Lepisosteus oculatus: one gene and its partner. The protein of the gene in region 2 purifies or fractionates together with the protein of the main gene of each other region. This does not show direct contact. Links are inferred from orthologs where the notes say so. Each region holds a gene or a part of one and is shown on either strand. Other genes may lie near its edges. The genes, in order: tut1 and ubiquitin carboxyl-terminal hydrolase 15.

The links.
Region 1: the proteins of ubiquitin carboxyl-terminal hydrolase 15 (region 2) and tut1 purify together in Homo sapiens (affinity purification with mass spectrometry; 4 studies listed by BioGRID and IntAct, with this or other methods). This does not show direct contact. The link is inferred for Lepisosteus oculatus from reciprocal best matches to the Homo sapiens genes USP15 and TUT1.

Annotation. Positions count from the first base shown.
Region 1 is NC_090723.1:7,413,204-7,425,259, forward strand, and holds the start of tut1 (speckle targeted PIP5K1A-regulated poly(A) polymerase), read left to right. Parts: upstream 1-4,455; 5' UTR 4,456-4,567; coding exon 4,568-4,646; intron 4,647-5,000; coding exon 5,001-5,191; intron 5,192-5,791; coding exon 5,792-6,001; intron 6,002-7,928; coding exon 7,929-8,043; intron 8,044-8,908; coding exon 8,909-9,036; intron 9,037-9,934; coding exon 9,935-10,161; intron 10,162-11,078; coding exon 11,079-11,188; intron 11,189-12,056. Other genes in the region: hdac5 (histone deacetylase 5), read right to left, coding at 548-730. UniProt on the Homo sapiens protein: Poly(A) polymerase that creates the 3'-poly(A) tail of specific pre-mRNAs. Localizes to nuclear speckles together with PIP5K1A and mediates polyadenylation of a select set of mRNAs, such as HMOX1.
Region 2 is NC_090702.1:5,056,246-5,068,301, reverse strand, and holds the start of ubiquitin carboxyl-terminal hydrolase 15, read right to left. Parts: upstream 6,986-12,056; 5' UTR 6,948-6,985; coding exon 6,859-6,947; intron 3,456-6,858; coding exon 3,328-3,455; intron 2,008-3,327; coding exon 1,877-2,007; intron 1-1,876. UniProt on the Homo sapiens protein: Hydrolase that removes conjugated ubiquitin from target proteins and regulates various pathways such as the TGF-beta receptor signaling, NF-kappa-B and RNF41/NRDP1-PRKN pathways.

The DNA of each region.
Region 1 (12,056 bases), on a different chromosome or scaffold from region 2:
TAACCACAGCCCGGTCTCACAGCAACTTGCTCACTTATCTGGTGGACTTATTTGGTCCACCTTTCTCACTAGTTCTTAAAAAAAAAACATATTTACAGTCAATTCATTTCCTTGCTTAGACTTTCGAGGGTCTCGGTCGAATATTTCTTCAACTTTTTGCCATCGCCGCCGATACAAATACGAGTCACTCGGCATTCGAAGAAATGACCACCGCACTGCCCACCGCGTCGTATTTAGCGCACTACCACAATTCTTTTAAAAAATTGCACTAATTCTGGAGAAGGAAATGACCGCTGTTTTTGTAACAAATCGTTATCTTTATCCGTGTATATCGCTGTCGGCAGCACCTGGGAAAACGCGTCCCCCCCCCCCCCGAATGCTTGTTAATACTCACAAACCGTGGTCTCGCTGCGGCCGTGAAAGCTTAAATGATACATTTCTTGAATAAATGCATTTTTTTGTAGCACCGACCCGCTTAGTTACGAGTACTCGCAATTGAAAAGAACGGTCCGAAAAAAATGAGTGTCAGTAAACAAACTATCTTTACCTGATGATCAAGGAGATATCCCGTTTGCCTTTCTGTAGGAGATGTCCGGATCTTCGACGGCGGATGCGCTAGCTGGTGTGTATTTTTTGGGGGGGTAAAAAAAAAAAGAAATGTATGTGTATTTTTTTTCCCGTCACAGCTCTCTTTCCTCCATATTGGCAGCTCCTCCACCAACAACAACATTCGTGACGTCACTCCCCCGTCACGTGACCCCCCCCCCCCCCGGCCGCGTGCTAAAAATAGACTCTGCAACCACTGAATAACCTACAGTGGGAAGATAACCCACACCTGAGTATGGTGGCAGACCTCGCGTCGACTGGCGCTCCTGACGTGTGGTCTGTCTCCCCAGTCAACGTCTGACACAGCGAAATGTTGCGCTGTTGACACGGCGTTTCGGCACAGGCGCGGATGCAGACCTCTGCGGCTTTTGAAGTTCGGAGAGAACGTTACCACCGATTCATGCTCGTCTAGTAAAATATATATTTCCACGATTGTAGCGCTGCATTGAAGGCAGTTGTCTGTCGTTTACCAGATGCACGTTCTCTTTTTTTTGTGGAAATGGAAATGGGTTTTGGGTGGAAATGAGTGAGCATATTTTATGCGTCACAAGGCGCGCTAAATATATGTTCTCGCAGTGTTTCTGATTTACAACGGGCACGATCCACTATCTCTTTTTCAGCGTTTCCCGCTGACATTAGCCTCATCCGCACTTGTTAGAACAGTAGAAACATGATGAGCCCGGTTGCAGTAGTTTGAGTTTTTTTCCGAGCTTTAGACCTTGTGCTTAGAAGTTGTGCGAGTTCACGCCAGTACCCGAGGATCTGTGTGGGGATATGCTGTGATTCGAGGTCAGGGATGGACTACTTTCAGAGTCATGCAATTAAATCTACTCCAATGCTCCCGGCCACGAGTCACAGGCCGGTCCAGGTCAAAGGGTTCCCACCTTGCTAAACTTTGGAGCGTTTCTGTCGGCTGCATGGTTGGACATAAGCCCACGACAGCATTTGTTAGTCATGTCAATCGGAGCGAAGTGGCTGAGATGCTCGCCTGTAGTTATAAAGTCTGCCGAGCTCCTGTCCGTGCAGACGGTCCCCCCGTTGTGTCTCACGTCTCACTGAGAGTCTCGAGCCGCGGCCCGGAGACCCCTCGAGACACGGAGCTCTCTTATTATGAAAAGTACCGAGGAGCGGGCGACGAATCCCGAGCCGGAAAACGACGCGCCGCCGACACAAGTTTGGGGGGGGAGAGGGAAAGGAGGGAGTTGTGAACATAAGTTCGGGAATGGAGACATAATGATAAAGGACAGAGGCCGAGAGAAAGCATTGGTGCCATCACTATGCGTTCTCCAGCTTGATGCTTGTTGCCATGGTTACCCGGGGCCGGGAGCATGACTGGCATTCTAAGTACCGTTGTGCAACACCGCGAGCCCTTGCCTGCGCGGACAGAGACACGCAACACGTGTTCCCATCATGCGGCTGTTAAAAGGGCCTTGACAAGCTCTCCATCAGCTTCCTCATTCAACACAGCTCAATACTCCTGCGGGGATGCGGTGACGTCATCCCTGCTCTTCAAAAGAATGAGTCACGGCAGCTTTGTGACGTCAAAGCCTCCTTTTAGGAGAAAATCGAAAAGAACATTAAGGTAGATACATAACTGAAAAAAAAGACAATTACATGAATATTTTTTTTCCTCTGGCAGTATCAAAGGACGTGGATATGGGATACGAATTATGTGCTAAGACAAATCAAATTATTAATCTTTCTAAAACCGTTTATTTAAATAATAAGTCTGATCACCGGAGTAGATTCAGTCTTCTTACACAATTCTGCAACCCAAAGTTTCGCGGTGAAAACTATCTCAAAAGCGCCTTCACGCTGATCACTTCAACATCTTCCGTGAGCGTAGCTACAATTCAACCCTCTAACTCGATATAGTGGCAGAAAACAGGGCGTTAGGTCAGTGCGGGGGGAAAGTTTTTCCATTATTAAAATGCATTTCACCCTGTTGTGCACGCAAAAGCGTCTCGACACTCTCTGCTCCATTCGACGAAAAAGCGTCCTGCACGATGCCCGTAAATTGTTTCTCTCGCACATACTAATGGTTTTCACCCATTAGCGTGGTTTTCCTATGCCAGTCTCTGTGGCAGGCTGGCCGAGATGAATGACCCCGCCTCAGTCCCCTCACCCACAGCGCTCCCGGACAGCAGCCGGCGAGTCAGGGATGAGGACCCGTCTCCATGGCGATGCGGCGCTTTTCATGCCGGCGGTAGCGCTCTCGTGCTTTGGAAGCAGATGAAGATATCTGTCGTTCCTTCGACTCGTTGCGGACGTCTGCTCTATGTATTGAAACAAAGAAGAGTAGCAGCCCAAGACGATAAATGACCTAGACTTCTGCAAGTGTTGCCGTCTTAATTATGTCCAAAGAGAGATGGAAAATGAACTATATATTTTGCTAATAAACTCTTTTGTTTTTGTTGATCTTAATCCTATAACTTAATTGTGTCTGGTGTGAACTCAGCCTGTGCTCCACTTTAACAAAAATCACGAAGTTATTAACCCCGAGTGTCCTTGAGAGTAGTCAAATCACCAAACCCACTTTACAGCGTTAGGAACGGTCTGAAACCAGAGGAGCCCATTCATAAATCTAACACGTCTGGTAGTTCGTAGCTCATCGATCCTCTAACCTCGGTAAAAGGACGAGAAGCTTTTTTCAGTTTCCCACATCTTGAGAACACTGTAAAATAGCTCTCTCTTTTGTAACTTAGTGACAATTTTAGCAATGATATCTCTTAATTTTAATTTAACATATATAATGAGATTCTCCTTGATTTGTATTGCTTTCCAACTTTGTCTGGAAGATGAAAATGGCGTGTCAACATTTACACATTCCTTTTTTTCCACAAAGCAGCTTTTTCAAACTTAATGTCCCTACTTGGTACAGTATTTAATGTTTTTTTGCTGCCTGTTCGTAATACTCTGCACCTTGTCTAACTTAGCCCCCCCAAAATGTTTTTGTTTGATCGATTTTAGAAGTAAAGGATTATCAGAAAGCAATGATATGAAAATGTTATATGTCAAAAATGAAAATGGTATATTTCATGATTATCTAATGTCTGGCTTTGGCACGAAGCCTACTGCTCGGGGTCGAGGCTAAATTGTCTGCATCGGCGGACACTTCCGACTCAAACAGAGGGAGGAGGCGCTATATTCGTAAGTGAGGGATGACTCACATACAAGTGAGTCAGATTTCTACAGCCAAATCTAAATGTCAACCCCCCATCTCCCCCCTTCGCAGCATTTAATGAGAAAAAATAGATCCCACACAAAGAAGAAAAAGTCACAACTACTTATATGACAGGAAATTGTCTTTGGAATCGAAGAGCTTTCTTTTCCATTTTGTATCAGATCCACGACGCCTCCCGGTGTATCTTTGAAAACAAAGAGTGTGGTTTGCGTTACACGGAGATGCTGGTGCCTGGATATCACACAAAAAAAGTCCGCCACCCCTCTGTACAACAATAATGTTTATAAAATGTTAATGGTACAAGACAAGGAGAAAAACACAAGAGCAAACATTTCTTTATCATTAGCGATCTCCTGAAATTGCTGTTTAAAATGTAGAGTTTTTTTTTCTTTTAAAAAGCTTTAACTGATCAGATAGGACGCAGTGATATGTATATAAAACTGTTTTGTGTGGTATTTATATGTTAGTGCTTTTTGTTCGTTATACACCGTGCATGTGAGACGGAAAACATGCAGATGTAAAACATCAGTGAGATTTCCTGAGAATTGCTGGGTTTTATAAAGCTTTGTCTCCCTCGTACGGTGGGACTCTGCAAATTCCGCGTGTGGACTTCTTGTTCCTCCGGAACTAAAAGTTCCTATCTTTGTTGCCATACCGGGGCGAAATGATGGGAGGGATGAGGCAGGGGAGAGTGCGTGGAAGGGAGGGAGATTTAATTTAATCCTTATTTAGTTAAGAGATTAAGCGTATTTCTGTTATATTTTGCTTTTGATCGAGATGGAGTTAGATACAGATATCCAGCCTGTTCCGAAAGGAGGGTTCCATTGCAACTTGTGTGATGTCAGTGTACCAAACAGTAAGTTTTGTCAAGTTTGCGCAGCACCATTACTTACAGAGCAGTTTACAGCAGTGGCATGATTGTTTGAGAAACAGAGTTTATTTCATTTTTGTTAAGGCGAATAGATTCAAAAAATGTTTTATGGCTGCGAAGGAATCTCACAGCCCGTGTATGATAAAAGTAAGCGGCTGTATTGGTCCTGCGTTTTCAGTAACACTGGGCAGTACGTGCTTTCCTCTTTCTTTAGCCTTTTTAATGCACGTCCGTGTGTTTGAAATGCATGCCCGTGTTTGTTTCGGCGCAAGGCTCCTGTTTCGTTTGTATCTGCACACGTTTCTGCTTATCTAGAGTGTAACGTGTGTGGTTATGCAGGGACAAGCCTTCAGGACCACCTGAAGGGCCGTAAACATCGGAACCTGTGCGCCGTCCGGGACACTCGCCGGACCCAGGTGGAGAACAGCGTGTTCGTCAGCGGGTTCCAAAAGGGGACGTCGCAGCAGCAGATCATGGAATATCTCCAACGCTTCGGACCCGTGTCCGAAGTCATCATGGATAAGGACAAGGTGCGTTTTTGTAAATATAATATCCTGACTCTCTGCGGTCATGACAAAATCCCAGGGTGTTTCTGGAAAAGAGTAGGGGTGTTACCCTGGCATCCTAGCCAGTCAAGGCCTCCTAATAATCCCCATCTCTGAACTGGCCTCATCGCTCTGTTCTCCTCCCCACTGAGGGCTGTACTGGGGAGTGTACTGGTGCTCTATGGCTGCCGTCACATCATCCAGGTGGGGGCTGCACATTGGTGGTGGTGGAGGGGAGTGCTTTGAGTGGGGTGTCCAAAAAAAGCGCTATAAAAGTGTGAGGAATTATTATTAACTAACTAGTCATCACTTAACATGTCAGTTTAAATAGAAGTTATTACAATGATGTCATGCAGGCAAAAGAAATATCCTTTACAGGTATCTGCTGAAAGCAGGAGTATCATCTGAACAAAACAAGAGATGTGCAAAAAGCATAAGTCTAGTAACGGGTTAGTTCATGTCCAAGCAAAGGGCATGGAATGCAAGGCCGAGGGAAGAATCTGTTTCTAGGACAACCGAGAGTCGAGTGTGGGACTGACCAGGTATGGACGTGGGTTGTTGTTTCTCTCCAACTGTGTCTCCCAGGGTGTCTATGCCATCGTGGAGTTCAGCGACAAGCAGGGCCAGCAGGCAGCCCTGTCTCAGCCCCAGCACAGCATGGAGGGCCAGAGGCTGCGCATCAAGCAAAGGGAGAGCAAGGAGTTCAAGTTTGTCCCCAAACGGAAGCAGGACGTCACCAAGAGCCCCTCGATGAACCCCGAACTTCTGTCCCATGCCCTCTGTCAGGCCAATTCTGTGAGTCTCTCTCTCTCTCTCCTTGCATACCAGCCGGGTTCCAGTCCTGCTGGAGCTTTTGTTTATTCGCACTGTCTGAGCTCTTCATGTCTCAGCTGGATTCTGCATCAGGCCACCTTAACATGATTGATCTAAAAGGATCTACAGTATAGTGCTATCTATAGGTACCAGTGTCTGAAACAAGTCTTTTTTGCTGCTCAATTATATGTTGGGTTACACATGTTTGGTGTTCTTTTTTTATCACATGATGTACCTTTTACCAATGCAGTTTTCTGGTTGGAAAAAAATGCTAAACCTCTTGCATTTAGATTAACTGTTTTTTTGCGTTGGATTTCACCAGGCACTTTCTCTTCAATTTCACAAGTGATGCTGATAGACTGTTATTCCAAAGCTTGTTTAACTCAATTATTAGTGCTTCAGTTTTCCAATTTAGGTTTGACTATGTTCTGTATATATTCCAGATATTCTACTCACTGGCTTTTGACCAAGTGACTGTTCTTTTCCACAGAAGGGATATGTCTTTAATGAATAATAACCACAAGTACACAAGTGTTTAAATAATTACAGGCAGTCATAATAAGCACCATAAACTCAGAGGAATTTCTCAAATTAGGGTCTAGTGTAGACTTAGTGAGAACTGATTATCTGTTCAACTGTATTAAACTGTATCAATACAAGAGGTATGTTGTTGGACTCTTAACTTGGGAAATTCAGAATCCTAATCATGCCTATACATGTGATATTATGTGTAGTCATTTACTTTTTATTCAGTACTCATTCATTGTAGCAAGAGGCAGTTAAAATGTTCTGGTGGATAAAGTCAATTCAGACACAGGCTATACTGCTCCCTTTTCAGCCTGGAAGTGTAAAGGTGTGTAGGTGTCTGTACATTGTCACTCTTAAGTCTTTGCATCCAATAAGATGGTGATTCTACCAGCACAGAGCTGTGCGCTGTAGCACTGGCTGAGAGCTAGACCTCCCAGCTGTTGTAATTCTGATTTGCTTTTTTAAAACCTATTCCTAGAATTCTGAAACTAGTTTGATCCCTAGTTGTGAGTCAGTTATTCCTCCATCTCTCATAACACCAGGTGAGTGGGCACCGCCGGTGGGGTGATCAGAGTCTACAAAGGGTGTGAGTAAATAACTCTGGACTGTTTGGGGAGTTGCCAGAGGAAAGGACAAGTTGTTTTTTAAGAGGCGTCTCGTGTCAGAAGTGCGGAAGAGTGATGTAAAGAGAGAATTAGTAACCCGGGCCGTGGATTTGCCAGCGAGGAGGGGTAGTGTGTACCGCATGCTGTGCAGATTATTTTGATGAAAGCCGCCTGCGTCTCCGGGCATCGGTCGGCAGAGACGACTGAGATGGGAGCACGTGGGCTGTGAGCTTGTGGTAAGGTATGACGCAGCTCCTGTTTTTCAGTCACCAGGCAGCGAGGATCTTTGGGTAGAGCGAGGTGTCGCAGTGATGCGACTTCCCTTTGCTCCTCTGAGTATGTTAGTCTCCCAGGCCTCAGACCCTGGGTGCTGTGCTGTGCAGAGTTGGTGTGCTGCAGTACAGAGGAGATGAAGCGTTCAAGCCTGGGGCCCTGCTGCATACTTTATACCAGGAGATCTGTCTCTCTGATGGATTGGCGAAGCAGAACGTTCAGCCTCTGGCCTAGTGTTTGCAAAGAGGCTTCTCCGTCACGTTTGGTTTGCTCTTTCATCATTGCGTCGCCACCTTGTGTAAGGAAACGGAGACGTTCTCCAGCGCCAAGTCCCGTTTGCCAGTCCCGTCCCTGCCCAATCTGTCCAACCGCAAAAGAGATACCATGTAAGGGGAAAGTCATTTTAAGAGTGGAGCTTATTTGAACTGGCTTACCAGCTCCCTCTGGCTCGGTGCAGACTGCGGCAGGAGATCATTTCTCTGCTTGTCTGCTTGTCCTGGCAGGTGGCAGAGCAGATGCAGATGCTGGTGGACTTGTTTGAGCTGTCGGACAGCGAGCGCAGCACGAGAGAGCTTTTGATTGCGCTGTTGCAGGAGGTCTTCAATGAGTTCTTTCCAGGTACTGCCTGCTCTCTGTCCATGGCTGGGTTTTCCTTGTGGTTACTCGGTGTTGCCGTGGTGTGCCACAGCTTATATTGTGTTTTACCATAACACCGGATGCTTTATTGGGAATTAAACTGTTTCATCTCTTCCTGTGACATGTAATCATTAATAATGATCTGATCTGTTTTTTTAATGCCAGCTTTAACTGTGCAATATGATACAAGAAAGTACGTGCAGCAATTCTTGAAAACCTGCATTCTTTGAATGCACCAGTTCATTCAAGCATAGTAGGACTAAAACCTTTTCATTACAGCTATTCTCATTCCTAGCAGACATGTCTGTATTACAGTTTTTAGTTTGTGTTTGGAAATGCACTTTGGCCTACTGTATTCAGAAAAGGTCCAGATTTATAGTAAATTTCAGTTACCCATTTCGAGTCAATTTCAAATATCCTTTTCACGTCTGAAAAATACAAAGTAGGTTGGACAGTCTCTGTCCTGGAGAGCCTCAATCCAGCAGGCTTAAAAGTTCAACCTTAGTTTGTCAGTTTTCAAACTCTAGTAACAATTTTGTTTTGACTGCTTACCTAGGTGGCTTGTTCAAATCAGTTTTTCTAGATCTTGTAAAATGAACATGCCAACACCCCGAAGATCTATTAGAATAATGTCAGCTGACGATTAACTGAACCATTGATCCAAACTCAAGTGTTTCAGGTCTTTAGAAATTGATGATTGAAGGATGATCTTGTGTCCAGACCACACCTATTTATATCTGAAACTCTGTTGCTCTTTAAAAGGTGATTTCTGGAATTCTGACTATAAAACTCTGTCAATGTGATGTTATAGACAATAATCCACTCTGTGCATGCATTTCTCTCTCAGAGTGTAAGATCCTGGCCTTCGGCTCTTCTGTGAACACTTTTGATATTCATTCCTGTGATTTGGACCTCTTTCTGGATCTGGAGAACACCAAGACCTTCCAAGCCAGAGCCAAGAACTCCACAGAGCAGGTATCAACGGTATCCATTCTGCATGCAGAGATCAGTCGTGAGACGGTCGAAAGAAGTTGTGCTTCAAAGCAGCGCAGTGCTTCCTTATGTTGTACAGCTGCTTTGCACAAAAGCATTCCTTTTACAGTAAGAATTACTAGATATTTCAGTAATAGTCATTTAGCAACTGCTTTTTATTCAAGAGCAGTTTATGTGATGAACTATGTAGGGAGAGCTCACTGCAGTAGAGTCACTGATAGGACCCAAGAATTATGAGGGAACCACACTGAACCCTCTACCTCTGGCATTTGCAAAAAAATTCATACTCGAGCACCATTATGAAGAACTGTCCCTGCTTATATATGGCTTTGCCAGCAGCCATATCACCCAGCAACTCACAACTGACAGACCACTGAAGCTAAGCAGGTGTGAGCCTGGTCAGTATCTGAATGGGAGACTCCTGGGAAAAACTAAGGTTGCTGCTGGAAGAGGTGTTAGTGGGGCCAGCAGGGGGCGCTCACCGTGAGGTCTGTGTGGGTCCTAAAGCCCCAGAATAGTGATGGGGACACTACACTGTAAAAAGGTGCCGTCCTTTGGATGAGACATAGAATGGAGGTCCTGACTCTGTGGTCATTAAAAAATCCCAGGGTGTTTCTCGAAAAGAGTAGGGGTGTTATCGCAGTTTCCTGGCAAAATGTCCCCCTGTCCTTTACCAGTCATGGCCTCCCAATAATCCCCGTCTCTGAACTGGCTTCATCACTCTGCCCTCCTCCCCACTGAGAGCTGGTGTGTGGGGAGAGTTTTGGCGCATCATCCAGGTGGGGCTGCACACTGGTGGTGGTGGAGGGCATCTGTACAGTGCTTTGGGTGGAGTGTAAGCAATTATTCATTATTATTATACCTTTGTCCTCTTCGCCAGGCCGGAGAGGGACAGTGGGAAGACGCACGCTCCGAGGACTCCATCCTGTCGGACATGGATCTGGCCACGGCCTCTCCTGCGGAGGTCCTGGATCTGGTGGCTACCGTGCTGCGGAAGTGTGTCCCTGGGGTGCACAAGGTGCAGGCGGTGAGCTCGGCGCGGTGCCCCGTCGTCAAGTTCACCCATCGAGACCTGGGGCTGCAGGGAGACATCTCCATCAACAACAGGTCAGCTGGAGGGCTTGGACTCACCCTGACACGGGCCCAGGATAACGGCATCGTGGGAGACAGCGATATGTCAAACGTTGCAATATTAATACATTGTCTTTGAGTGATCATCGGGATGTGCTGTCTTTGCTCGGAAGTGCCACTGTCCTGAAGTTTAATAGGTGACTTAAATCCCTCATAGCTAAAAGATCTGGAGGAAAGCCTGTTCGTTGGTGACCTAATTGACCAATTAAGTCTGTTATTGATTAAATTAAGTCATTAGGAGATCAGGCTGTACCAGTGCCAGAAGACCTGGCAGCAGTACTTTTTATTTTTTCTTCTGAAGCACTTATCTCAGTTTCATTCTTGACACCATCCAGAATTTCTCATGAAGGGCCAAGAAACCTACATCACCATCATGTCTACCAGGAACAGCATTTTATTCAAAGCCTGCACCTCTTAATCCTTACACGTAAAAGGATCTTTCAGAAACGTGCAGTCCTTGAACAAGTGACTTATCTGTCATCTCTTGTTGTGTTATTGTGAGCAACTTTCCATACAAGTCATGGAATGCATCTGGTCCTCAAACTGCATGAACATACCATCGTTAGAGTGATGCTCTTAACAGTATCTTGGTTGATTCAAATGAATCACTTTCCACTTGTTTCCTATGCATTTCTTCTCTTAATGTGCATGCCTAAAGCCTTCCAGACATGCTCAGCAGTAGCAGCTGTATTTCTGGGTCTTCTGCCTGTGTGCTGGCTTGTTTAATGGGCATGTGTTTAATTGGTCCTAATAGCTCTGGGCATTCTGGCTGCTTCAAGAAGACCCAGTACATCATGAGGTTTTGTAGCTCTGCAGTAAGAGCTAAAAATAGCAGACTGGACAAAACATGGGGCTGTGTGACATCTCCTCCTCTTCACTGTTCTCTCCCTCAGGCTGGCTGTCAGAAACACCCGATTCCTCCAGCTGTGCTGCTCACTGGACAAGAGGCTCAGGCCCCTGGTGTACACCATCAGGTACTGGGCAAAGCAGAAGCAGCTGGCAGGTAAGGCGCTGGCTGGTGCTTTTGTTTTTAGGCATGACAGTGACATCATCATGATGTTTCCCGCAAAAGGAAATAAATAACCTAAAAAAAGCCTGGTGGGATTTTGCAGAGGTAGTGCGAAGAAGAGCAGTAGGTGGAATCATTCTAAGTGATTTAAGTGCTGACAACATAAATAATGCATGGCCCTTTTTTTGTAAACAAGATCATAAATGTTCTTTGCAGTTGCTCGCGAAGTTGCTTTGTAGATCATGCTGTTTCCTTTAAAATAATGGAATTTTTTAACTTTTCAGTTTTCATTGAAAGTTAGATGGAGCCACATGTATAGGAGTATTTGGTCAGTGTGCCTTGCTTTCTTCCAGAAGTACTGTACCTGTCTGCAGCAGGACAACTGTGATCTCCTGTAAGCTTACAGTCTGGTAGTCGAATCGACCAGCAGGGGGAGCCAGAGCATTTCGATTCCCTTCGCTGTGTGGTTTATAAAACCTGCCCAGGAGTTGCTGAGCACGCTTTTTTGCTTCTATATATTTTTTTTTGGAGACACTACCTGATAAAATTAGCATCATTACCATCTTATCTTACCAATGCCCAGTCAGGCTCTTTGGTTCCGTTGGGCAGAATCATGCAGAGAATAGAGCAAATCTTAAATCATCAGCTGCTTATTGACGTAATGGAACCAGCTGAACAGCTTCTCCCAGCTCTTCAGAAGCTGACTTGAAGGGCCAGGAAGCCTGCAGAGATACCGGCCCTCCGGGGCCTGGGCTGCCCTATATGAACGTTTTTCAAATATCCATGGGATGCCGTGATATTTTAGTTTTTGTGAATGTTGTTCCAGTTTGATTAGCAGTTTATTGATGACCTCAAACTTTTT
Region 2 (12,056 bases):
ATGTGACAAGGCTAAAGGTACTATTGTTAAATATAGTGCTTAATTTGGCCTGCCAAACACTTTTCAATTAGATATTTGACAAAAGTTATGCTATATACTGTAGTATACTGAAGATGAAGGCTAACATGTAACATATCACAATTATCCCCTTCTTACCAAATAAGCAAGATTTAGAACACGAAATTCAGTCCTACTTAATTTGTAACTTTGCTGACTGGTTTGGCCAACTGAAATGAACACAATTTCAGCTGCACATTGGCATACTGAGAAAACGATTATTAGATTAGGTGCACGGCAAGATTTCTAATGAAACAGTTTAAATTCACTTCATTAGATACGCAAATACTACCTCTTTTAATTACACGCACAGTCACAAAGCCTGCTCCACTGTGTGCTTTTTTTCCCCATTAGTTCCGAGAATCTGATACAGCTAGCTGACAGTATTGAACCAAATACATCTGCTGTCCTAAACACAGCATATATCATTTTCTGGATTAACGGAATAAAAACTCAAGCTTGAAATAAGAAACAGAAGACTGATAAATGGAAACTTTTACAAGATCTGTAGGTTATTTGTTCAGAACATTGCTGAAGAGGTGTTCAGACAGGAGGGAAAGTTCTCCAATATTATAACAGACTGCAATGACCACCTTGCTACGTTTCTACTATTTATAATAATAATAATAATAATAATAATAATAATAATAATAATAATTGCTTACACTTATATAGCGCTTTTCTGGACACTCCACTCAAAGCGCTTTTCTGGACACTCCACTCAAAGCGCTTTACAGGTAATGGGGACTCCCCTCCACCACCACCAATGTGCAGCCTCACCTGGATGATGCGACAGCAGCCATAGTGCACCAGAACGCTCACCACACATCAGCTATCAGTGGGGAGGAGAGCAGAGTAATGAAGCCAATTCATAGATGGGGATTATTAGGAGGCCATGATTGGTAAGGGCCAACGGGAAATTTGGCCACTACGCCGGGGTTACTCTTTTCGAGAAACGCCCTGGGATTTTTAATGACCACAGAGAGTCAGGTCCTCGGTTTTACGTCTCATCCGAAGGACGGCGCCTGTTTACAGTATAGTGTCCCCGTCACTATACTGGGGCATTAGGACCCACATGGATTTATTGTAAAAAATAAAACAAAAACGTTAACAGTTCCATAAATTGAAATGTTTCTTTTATGATTCGGATCCAGATAATGTTTATTTTTTCTTTACGAGTGTGGCAAGCATGGTGTGGCCAAAAATGCATTATTAATATAATCTAATAGGTAGGGAATCTCTGTTTATTAGACAGATTAAATACTGTATTTACTCGAGTACGGATCAAAAAGGCTTACACATTCATGACTGTATCGAAGAACTTGATCTCAGGCTTTCATTTTTTTTTTACTTTGAAGGGCTTCACTTGAACGCCTGGTTATTTCTATACCCTGCTGATTCAATGGAAACATCCGAATGAGTATTTTTTTGGTATTTACTCAGGATTTACTCAAGACCTACCTTTGAGGTACTTTGTACATGATCGTATTATGCAGCATCTCCCCTGAAAGAAGCCACATCAGACCCAGACTTTCTCAGAAAGACAAACGTGAGAGAGATCAGCAGATAAAGACTAACAGGATTTGAGCGGTTTGCAATGATGGAAAGGACAGTGGACAGTGGAAATGTTAAATGGCTGTGCATGTCTCTGAGAGAGAAGATAATAGGAAGTGTGCTACATTCTACAAACCTTACATATGCTATGAGGTGCCCCAATATAGATCAAATGCATAATTAATAGCAGCGAGTATAAAATGTTAGTCTGGTGTTTAAAAACAACAACAACAACAACAACAGCTCCGGGGTAGGTATACTGTACCTTGCGTGCTATTGGCTCTTGACTCACAGTCAGTCCATACCAGCTCACTAACTTATTCCAGCCCTCAGTGGGCACCAGGATGTAGTCCAGCTCATCGATGAGGTGTTCCTTAAGGGCCTGGGAGTCGCCATCTGTACGGCAGAGGGACAAAGATCAGATCTCCATCTTGGCCTAGTCTTCAATTCAGTTCACTGGGTTCATAATCCAAGACAAAGAATTGGGCGGAATTGAGTGGGCACTTGGCACTCATGGGACACATTGAAAAGCACATTATAAGAACGTACCATTACAATGGTAATCTGGGTTCCCCGAAATTGTCACTAGTACCAAAATGGGGTTTCGCCCCCAAATGCACCAGAGGCCCTTACACCACAATCCAGGGAAACAGGTATACAGTACATTGCCCACTCAAGGGCTGCACAGGTTCAGATGCTGGCGCACCTCTGATTGTCCACCTCTTTCCCAGTTCCCTCTGTTCTGGATGCACAGAGAGGGAGGGTTTAAACATTCTCTCGGGCATTGCTTTTGTGCATTCACCTAGCCTGGAAGGTGTTAATGCCTTTATACAAGTTACTGAGCACCAGTTAGTGTCCTCTGCTCAGTCCACCTTGTTAAATCCTTTCCCCCCTGTATAAAACGTCACTCACACTTAACAGGTAATGGGGGACTCCCCTCCACCAACACCAGTATGTAGCCCCACCTGGATGATGCAACAGCAGCCAAACTGCATCAGGATGCGCCCCACACATCAGCTCTCAAGGGGAGGAGAACAGAGTGATGAAGCCAGATCAGAGGTGGGGATTATTAGGAGACCAGGATTGTTAAAAGCCAGTGGGAAATTTAGCCAGGACACCGGGACAACACCCCTACTCTTTCGAGACAAAACAGTCAGAACCTCAGTTTGATGTCTCATCTGAAGGACAACACCTTTTTTACTGTACAGTATCCCCATCACTACACTGGGGCATTAGGACCCACACAGACCACAGGGTGAGCGCCCCCTACTGGTGCCACTAACTCCTCTTCCAGCAGCAAATTTAGTATACATTACCATGTTGTATTGGTCAGTGATTACTCCAATAATGCATGAAGTGCGTCTCCACCTGCCTGCAAAGTAACTAACTCGTTAACTAACTCATAAAGGTAATTTTGCGCACCAAAATTCATTTAGGGTGGTCGTAGCAAGAAGCTCGAATACTTACGAAGTCATACCCTTTCCATTTTTCATCCAAGTTAAAGATTTACTTCTTTGTTCGTGAATGTGCGGACTAGATTGGATATACAGTATAAGAAATATTCTCAAGAGTCGTGACCGCAAGATTTTAAAGCAACAAAACGTGAACACTGTCAGAATACTCCTGCAAGGCACTGTGTAAACACACTAGGCCACACGGCTAATTGGGAAGCACATCTCTGAGGTAGCCGGGAAAAGAACCGAAAGCATGATGTACCTTTGAGGAGGCCAGAGTTGTCAACGGGGCCAGGATATACATTCTGTTCTCCCATCTGGTATTTGTCCCAGCTGTCGAAACCAACATATTTCTTCCACTGCTTGAACCAGCGGCTATCTACTAAATACCTGTTAAAAAAAAACACAACATACTTATAAGTATTACACATTATTTTTTCCGATTATTACTTTGCTTGTTGAATATATTCGTTCAGCAACAGGATACTTAACCCTCCTCCTTCATGGTACCGTATGGACATCCTCCTTATTGTGCCGAAAAATCTAAAGATAGATACCAGTAAGAGCAAACTATGTTCTCTCTTATGGCTAGTAGTCCTCTCATTGTGCCACACTTTGATGAACACTGCACTTTATGTGCGTCCAAGTTAAACATAATCTGAGTTGAGATTTGGATTTCACATCCAAACAAACGATGTCTAGCTTTTCAAAGCGGTAAAAAAGTTAATTGCTGTCTCCCTCAGACTAGTTCAGCTCAGAGAACCAGTTTATTTCATTGAGCCCAGAAATGGCTCATGTCACGCTCTTCTTAAAGAAACATATCATTGCCACTGTGAAGAAATGATTCTACCGGTTTTAAGCAGATTGCCTGCATCAAACAGCTTGACTGTGCAAATTCCCCAGTCTATTGATTTTCAAAAGTCGCAGCAAATTTGGAGAATGTTAGGCAAAGCTCTGCAGCTTAGCTCTTAACACTGATTGGTTAAACTACCCTTGTCATAATGCTTACAGCACAATTTCAATTGGCATACCAGTAACTGGTATGACCACTGAAGAAGGAATTTTAACTGATTTTACTTGCTCTTATTGCATCAAACATGTATTTTATGCAACTCCATGACCTTTGCTTTAGGTGTTATGTGCAATACTCTATGAACAAGAATTGCTTCTGAAAATAATTCATAAAGCTATTATTGTATGTTTGGAGTACATCAGCCTAAAGGTATACGAAAACAGAGGAATTTTCAGCAGCCAGAGTTTTTGTCTCTGAGATACAGGAATCACATTTTCACAGGGAGTCAAGAAAAATATGTAAGGCTTGAAATAAGCAATCAAAAGTATCCAAAATGCAAAAAGTCTGTAGTCTGTATAGCTTCCAGCACATGTTGTTTCCCTGTGGCTGTACAGTATGTGGTTCAGATGTTTACATGAAAAGTGTCCTTTTCTCAAATGCACAAGCATGAAAGTAAGGAAATTAACTCCAGTTAAAGTTTTGTAAAAAAGTTTTTTTTTCCCTTTTTTACAAAAACCACGGCCACGAAGAACCACAGAAGCAGCTGGATTAGATCATAGGCTTGTAGAATGAGGCTTCCCTGTGCTTACTGAACTACAGTACACTGGAGATACAGCCCTGACTGCGCTAACTGCTGATCAGGAAATAAAGCTCCAATGCCTTCTATGACAGATGATGAGATCATCAGAATCAATACTACTTGAGTTACTAATTAGCTGTACTTAATCTCTTTCAGTTAGCTGCTCTTTCAAGGCAGTTGTACAGATCTGAAAACTCCTCATCTTTTCTTAAAGTATAAATGACCATGATGGTAGCTGTAAAAGGTGTGGATTTAACAGCAGCCGGTACAAACATTAGTCAGTGAATGATCATTTACCCAGGAACAGTTTGCGCCCAGGAATGATGTGTTGGGTTTGCACTAGACATAATGGTCAGCTGCTGGATCACAAAACCTTTTGCCCCATGTTTGCAGGAACATGCTCTGCTGAGATGGTTCTGCCACTCTATCAAACTGGCCAGATCTGTGGAGGGACTAGGATATGGAAACCCATGGACGTTTTGTCTCATCTCAGCCCCTGAACTCTGTAGCTCTTCCAAGGCTGTCGGTGGCTCACCCTGCCACCCAGTGATCCTGCATTATACAATACAGGATCACTGGGTAACCAATACCTAACCTGACAAGCAACAAGTGTGGGGCAGGGTACACCTTGGATGGGACACACACACACACACACACACACACACACACACACCAGGGCCAGTTTTCTCAGAAGGCGCAGTCTTTGGGCTGCGGGAGAGAACTGGAGCACTCAGAGGAAAAACCCACATGAGCATGTGGAGAACATACAAACTCCACACAGATAGAACCTTTGGAATTGAACCCAGGGCTCCATACAGCCATGCCAGCTACTGGCTCACCATGCTGACCCTCCATTCAACCAACTGTAGAGAAATTAATGTGTGCACTTGACCCAAATGAGGTTTGCCACGGCAGAGTGTGAATACTTATTCAATCAATACATTTTTTTTTGTTTTTGATTTTTCTTTGCACCTTTTACTGACATTTATTTTTTTTATTTTTTTTAGCTCACATATTTGAGCAGTCTAGATCAGACATACTGAAATACTGTCTTTAAAACAACATGCATCCATAATTTGTAATTCAAATAAATAGGAAGGGGGAAAGGAGGGGGTGAATAATTTTGCAAGGGAGGCTTTCCCACCACTGACAGCAAAATGTGCCCTAATAATAAGACTGCAGAAGAGCTCAAATGTAATGAACTGAACTTCCAGTTCTATTAAGATTATGTTCAAAGGGTCACAAATAAACACAGTATTTGAAACACCCAGGAAGTTCTAAAATAGTATGGATTATACACAGCGTTCAAAAATATCAGTTAAAAGTATTTAATACAAACGAAAATGACTTTTTTGGATGTATTTGCTCAATTCAAAACACACTAAGGCTGCCCCTTTCGGTATTCCAACTCGATATTTTCAATTCGGAATCTGCACTTTCATACTGACCATGTGCGACCTGTCAGTCAAAATACAAAACTCGGCACAGATCCACAACTGTGCAGAACCGATGACAATTACAAAAATCTCCACCTGCGATGCGTACTTGACGAGCGCTTTTAATTTGATAGCTTCTGAGAAGGAATTAGGGAAAGACACATACGCACAAATGTAGAAACTCGCTACAGTAGCTCGTATTTATCTCCTAGAACACAATGAATGACCAGCAAGCCGCAGCTTTCGTGGGAACCGATGGACAATCGAGCACCCTGTTCTGAAGCTTTCCTGAAACGGGGCACACGTTTTTCATCATGCAGGTCGTCGGACCAAGTGTGCGTTTTATGCTTATTGGTGACACTTGTAGATCCGATTGCGAAGTATTTCTGACAGGTGGCTGCCCTCGGCTCTCCGCCTCGCTCCTGCAGAAGGCGAGCAAGCTGATTCACTTCAAGAACCTATTTTAATCTCACCGGCCTCTCTCTGACAGCTACGGAGCCCCCAAACAGCAATCACGTAAGGGAAACTAAGATGTCACTCGGTGGCATTCCAAATGTGAACGACAAGGACTTTTTCACACCGGAGAAGTCCTAAAAGTGCCGGTCGCACTGTTCCCACAGCTAATCAGCTCCAGTGAGCCTCTTAAATGTCTGAGAACAGGGGCCATGCTTGCGGGTTTCCCACGGCCCCGTTGAGATGACAGCCCGTGCCACTGCTGTCTATCGCAAGCCACAGGGCTCCCATACAGCAACAGCCCCCTCTTACCAAGTGTCTCCCTTCCGCAGCTGTGTTTTCAGCAGCGCCGCGATCTCAGCTCGCTGGGTTTCTAGATCAGCCGCTCCGCCCTCGGCCATCTTTCCCTAGCAGAGCCCCGCTGCATCATGGGAAGGTCGACGTCACTGGCGTACGTAAGGCGGAAGGGGCTTGGAGGTTCGTGATCAATCTGCGACGGGGCTCTTGCAGGCAGTGACCCAGGGTGTGGAAAGTTGAAGTTGTGCCTACTTGATTTGTAAATCTTGATCACAGAGGAATCCTGTTAGCCGAATGTCCGTCACAACTTAATCTAAAAGTCTCCGAGAACATTTTGATGCAGTAAAAAATTGAACACCCCGCAGGGCGTTGAAATAGTTTAAAATTATATGGAATATCGCAAAACAGCTCTGAAGCCCCTCCTAAAAACATTAGTGAAGAGTGGCTGAACCGCTCAGCGAAGCCCAAACGAAGATTCACCTCCACCTAGTGCTAGAAAAGGGCATAACATAGGTCTAGTCAAGCCATTACAATCCACAAGAAAACTGATATTGGGTTGTGGCAAAATATTCAGACCCTCATACTGGTGAATTTCATGCCTTCTTAAATAAGCACCAGGTGTTTGACAACATTCCTTATTAATATACTACTTTGCAGCCCCAAAATGTCTCTTTGGTGAATTGAAAGGGGGCTAAACTTCACATTTAGAAAGTATACAGCTACTAAACCTTTAGCTGTTGTAATTCTTTTGATTTATGAATGCAAAAGCAACACAATTCAATTGTTAAGCGAATGCTTTGTATGCCAACTACAATTATTCGCGAATGTTTCTACAGTCCCACTGAGGGGTATGAGTTTCTGAGTTGATGGGCAATGACTATTTCAACCCAGCAGTAGGAATCACTAAGTGACACCATAAGTCTACCATAATGTAGTCATATGGTAATTGTAAGTAGTATATACAATATTAAATACCAGATAATATTAAGGTATTTTTCAGGGTGCAGTGGTCAGTGTTGCTGCCTGAATTCTATTCCGCACCTGGGGTCCCATCTGTGTGGAGTTTGTATGGTCACCCCGTGTTCGCATGAGTTTCCTCTAGGTGCTCAAGTTTCCTCAAGTTGTATTGGGTATTTAATCGGCTTCTGGGAAAACTGGTCCCGGTGTGAATGTGCATGTGAGACTGGTTGTGGTTGTGTCTGTTTGTGCCCTGCAGTGGATGGACATCCCATCCAGGATGTACTGTATCCTGCCTTTTGCCCGATGCTTGCTCTGATAGGCTCCGGTTTCCCCATGACCCTGAATTGGGAGATGCAGTTAGAAAATGGATTGATGGATTAAAGTATTTTCTTTTAGAATATTGCTCATCACAATTTTGTTATCCATCCCTGCTTTCTTCTGTTTTCTAAACTCCTTTATCCAGTACAAGGCCACAGGGGAAAGCAGAGTAAAACCCATAAACAGTTTTTGATGTTGATTATTTCTGCTCCATTTTTATTTGCTAAACTACAGTAGATTATTTTCAAAGCATCATGGATCAAGCTAAGAATGTATTTCACTTTGAGGTTACTTCACCAGCTCCACGTATAACAGCAGTTTATGTCCCACAGACATGTTACCTGTCAATGTATACTGATGGAAAAAAGAAACGCAACATTTTCTGGAATGAGAATACTGTAACGCATACGGCCACCATTGCAGGTTGTGCGAGCCGGCTTACTGGCGCGGTGACGTCACCGCCCTTCCCTGTGAATAGCAGGGACCACAGCCGTCGGGGTAACAGGAGATTTCCCTTTAGCTCAACTGGCTGGGTCCCTGTTGAGTGATGCTGGAGGCCCGGGTTTGAGTCCCCAACGGTGGGGGGCCGACCTGAGTTGGCAGCGGCGAGGGCGCATACCCCCGTGAACCCGAGAGTGCTACAATACTATAGTTATAGCTTATATCCTTTCACAAAAAGTTGCCAATTTGTTTTAAGCCCTCTGACCAGCAATACAGCTTGTGCAGTGAGGCATTGCAACTTGCCAATCACACGAAAGTTCGTTAGGTGCACTTTTACCCAACAAGGTCCAGGTGGAACAATGCCCGATCAGATCACCTTTAAAAGGGCATTAATTCAAAGCTTAGGTCACTGCAAGAAAAGGGCCACACTCAGTCAGTTTTCTGTGAATTCCATAATGCCTCGAATGTCACCAGAAGCAAGGGAGAGGGACATTGGCATGCTGCAGGCTGGCATGTCATGTGGCATCGTTGCCAGACACTATGGAGTAAGCCGCTCCACTGTGTCCCGACTGCAGAGAAGGTCTCAGCAGACCAGCAGGACAGATGACCATCCCAAGATCCGGTCGCCCTCGAGTGACCACACCAGAGCAGGACCGACACTTCAGACTGGTCCATCTGAGAGATCGTTTCAGATCTGCCACCCATACTGCTGCTGAAACTACTGGCAGACACAATGCCCGCATCAGTGACAGGACAGTGAGGCTCCATGCTCCTGGTCTTGGAGCAAGGCGACCTGTCAGAGGCCCTCTGCTCACACCTCCTAGACGTCACACCCGACTGGCCTGGGCCAGACAGAGGCTGCAATGGACTCGTCAGCAGTGGCATCAGGTCCTCTTCACGGATGAGTCACTCTTCAGCCTGTTCCATGCAGACGGGAGGACCAGAGTGTGGAGGAGGAGGTGTTGCTTTTCTTTTTGCCATCAGTATATATCTAATTTGTTTTGCAAGCTTACATAAAAGTCTGTTACTTTTAACCTTTTTAGGTTTTGCTATTAATTTAAGGAAATGTGTCGCAGAACCTACTCAGAAGCAAACAGCTACGAAAAGCTACCTGGAATTGTGTTTTTACGACGACTTATGTCACTTATTCTTATTCTAATTATTTTGAGTTGCAAATGTGTACTACTGTTGAAAACAGAGCAGGGTGTGGGAGGAGACGAAGCCAAACAAAATTCCACACACAATGAGTTGTTTTTAGAAATACATTTGTACATCTGCATAGTTTTCATTACACACTGTACAAATTCACAACACTGAATTTGTCATAATTATTCTGTTACAAAAATTAGTACAGAGTGCTATGCCAAAGAGAAATAAAATTAATCAACAGAGTTAATGACAATGGTGATTTTCACATTGAAAAGTTAAATAGGTAACTAAGTACACGAACTGGAAGAAGAATGTATAAGAAATTATTTTCCTAAAATCTGCATTTACACTTTTCTAAAATACAAGACCCATTTGTGCACAATTTTGTAAAGATAAGTTTGTAAAATTATAGAAAACCAAATCACTTGGAACTTTCCACAGGATATATCCACAGTGCCAAGATACAGTAGAGTGTGGGAGTCTGCAACTGTCCTAGTTAAATCATTATTTTATTTTAGTTTTTATATATAATATTCAAATATGTTTTATCTCTATCATACTGTAGATGTTGCTGTAAGCTTTTTGAATACTCTCCTCTTCAGGTGCAGATTACTATTTTGAATAGTAATAGGATGAAGGGGAGATCAGTTTTTATTTTTAATGTTTCCAAAACAATAAAAATCCATTAAAAAAGCAACTAATGCATTTGTTTTCTTTTCCTTTGCAAATTAATCATAAAAAATACTGACTGCTCTTAACACTCCCAAACACACCTTTTCTGGGATTTTGGCTTTGTTATTGTTTGACTACATTGTACAATATTAACTATCAGTAAGCAATGCCAATTAAGATAATACATTATTGTAAACAATCATGTCTTTTTTTCAGTTGATTTTTCTGTGTGCGTTTAACTATGTACATTGATCCTCTGCACAATACTCAGAAACAGACACAAGAGATCATCGAACTAATTTCCAGTTTAATATATACCGTAGTATTAGTTTGAAATATCTATTAGAACTTTTTGAACTTTCTATCACTATATATTAATAAGGTAAATACGTAGTAATGAAACGAGTTTGGATAAAGGAAGCTAGTGAAGTCAACTTCCTGCTGAGGATATGACTTTGGGGCAGCACCATAGCACAGTGATTAGCATTGCTGCCTTGCAGTGCTGTGGCTCTGGGTTAAATTCCTGGAATGCTATCTGTGTGGAGTTCTTATGTTCTTCTCTTGTTTTGTGTGGTGTTCCTCCGGGTGCTCCGGCTTACCCCCACAGTTGAAAGACATGCTGGTAGGTTAAATGGCTTCTGGGAAAACTGGAAAAAATTGTGCTTGTGTGTGTCTGTGTCTGCCCTGCATTGGACTGGAAAGGTAAAGAAAAGAAATACAACATTTCCCACTGTAGAGCCTTCTTCAGGTCTTTAACATCATTTGGGTAGTGTAGTATTTCCTATACTACTCTTCCTTAACTTCTGTAACATTTGCAACAGCTGTTGCTGGTAAGACCTAAAGTAACCTTATAACCTAAAAACAATAAGAACACATAACACAAAAACTATACCTTCTGTATATTTTTCAAACATTACTGGTCGAATGACAGTACTGCCTAGCTATGAAATGAAGCTGAATAAAGGACAAGAAAAGATTTCAGCAAACCAGACAGCTCCCAAAACTATTGAAAACCGGTGTGTGAACTCGTCAGTGTGGTTAACAAAAAACACATAAGCTGAAGTAACAATAGAGATATATTCACAGGTAACTGAGCAAAACCTGTGATTCTAAACATTGACGATTAAATTTAATTTGAGAGGATCCACACAGGATGTTTCCTTTGTAATGCATAATCATCGTGCTTATGTACTGTTATTAGTGTTGATTAATATTTCTTGATTCACCACACTGTTAATGATATTCACTTAAAAATTAACAATGTTTAACGTTAGTTTGCACTGAAACCCTGCTCAGCTAGCCACAGAAATGTTATTTCTTTGCTTCGTGCTGATGAGGGTGCTTTCAAGGCTGGTCATGTTTTGTACAGTACATCACCAAATACAATATACAGTAAAGCAATTCGCTACAGTTTTGTCACAAACTGTCCCCACTTCACATTTCAAAAGGTTCCTTTCCCAACTAAAGTCAAAGTGTAAAAAAAAATCCATTGCCGCGTCATGGAACACTTTTGGACAATTTTGCAAGCCCGATTTCCAAAATGTGTGCATTTTCTGTGAGGAGGCCTTGAATTAATCAGGGTGAAGGCCCTGATGTGGGTATTACACACAACGCCCAGCCGAACAGAGTAGGACTTTGTAAACCGAACCAACTTCCTGCCACTGAAAAGGCAC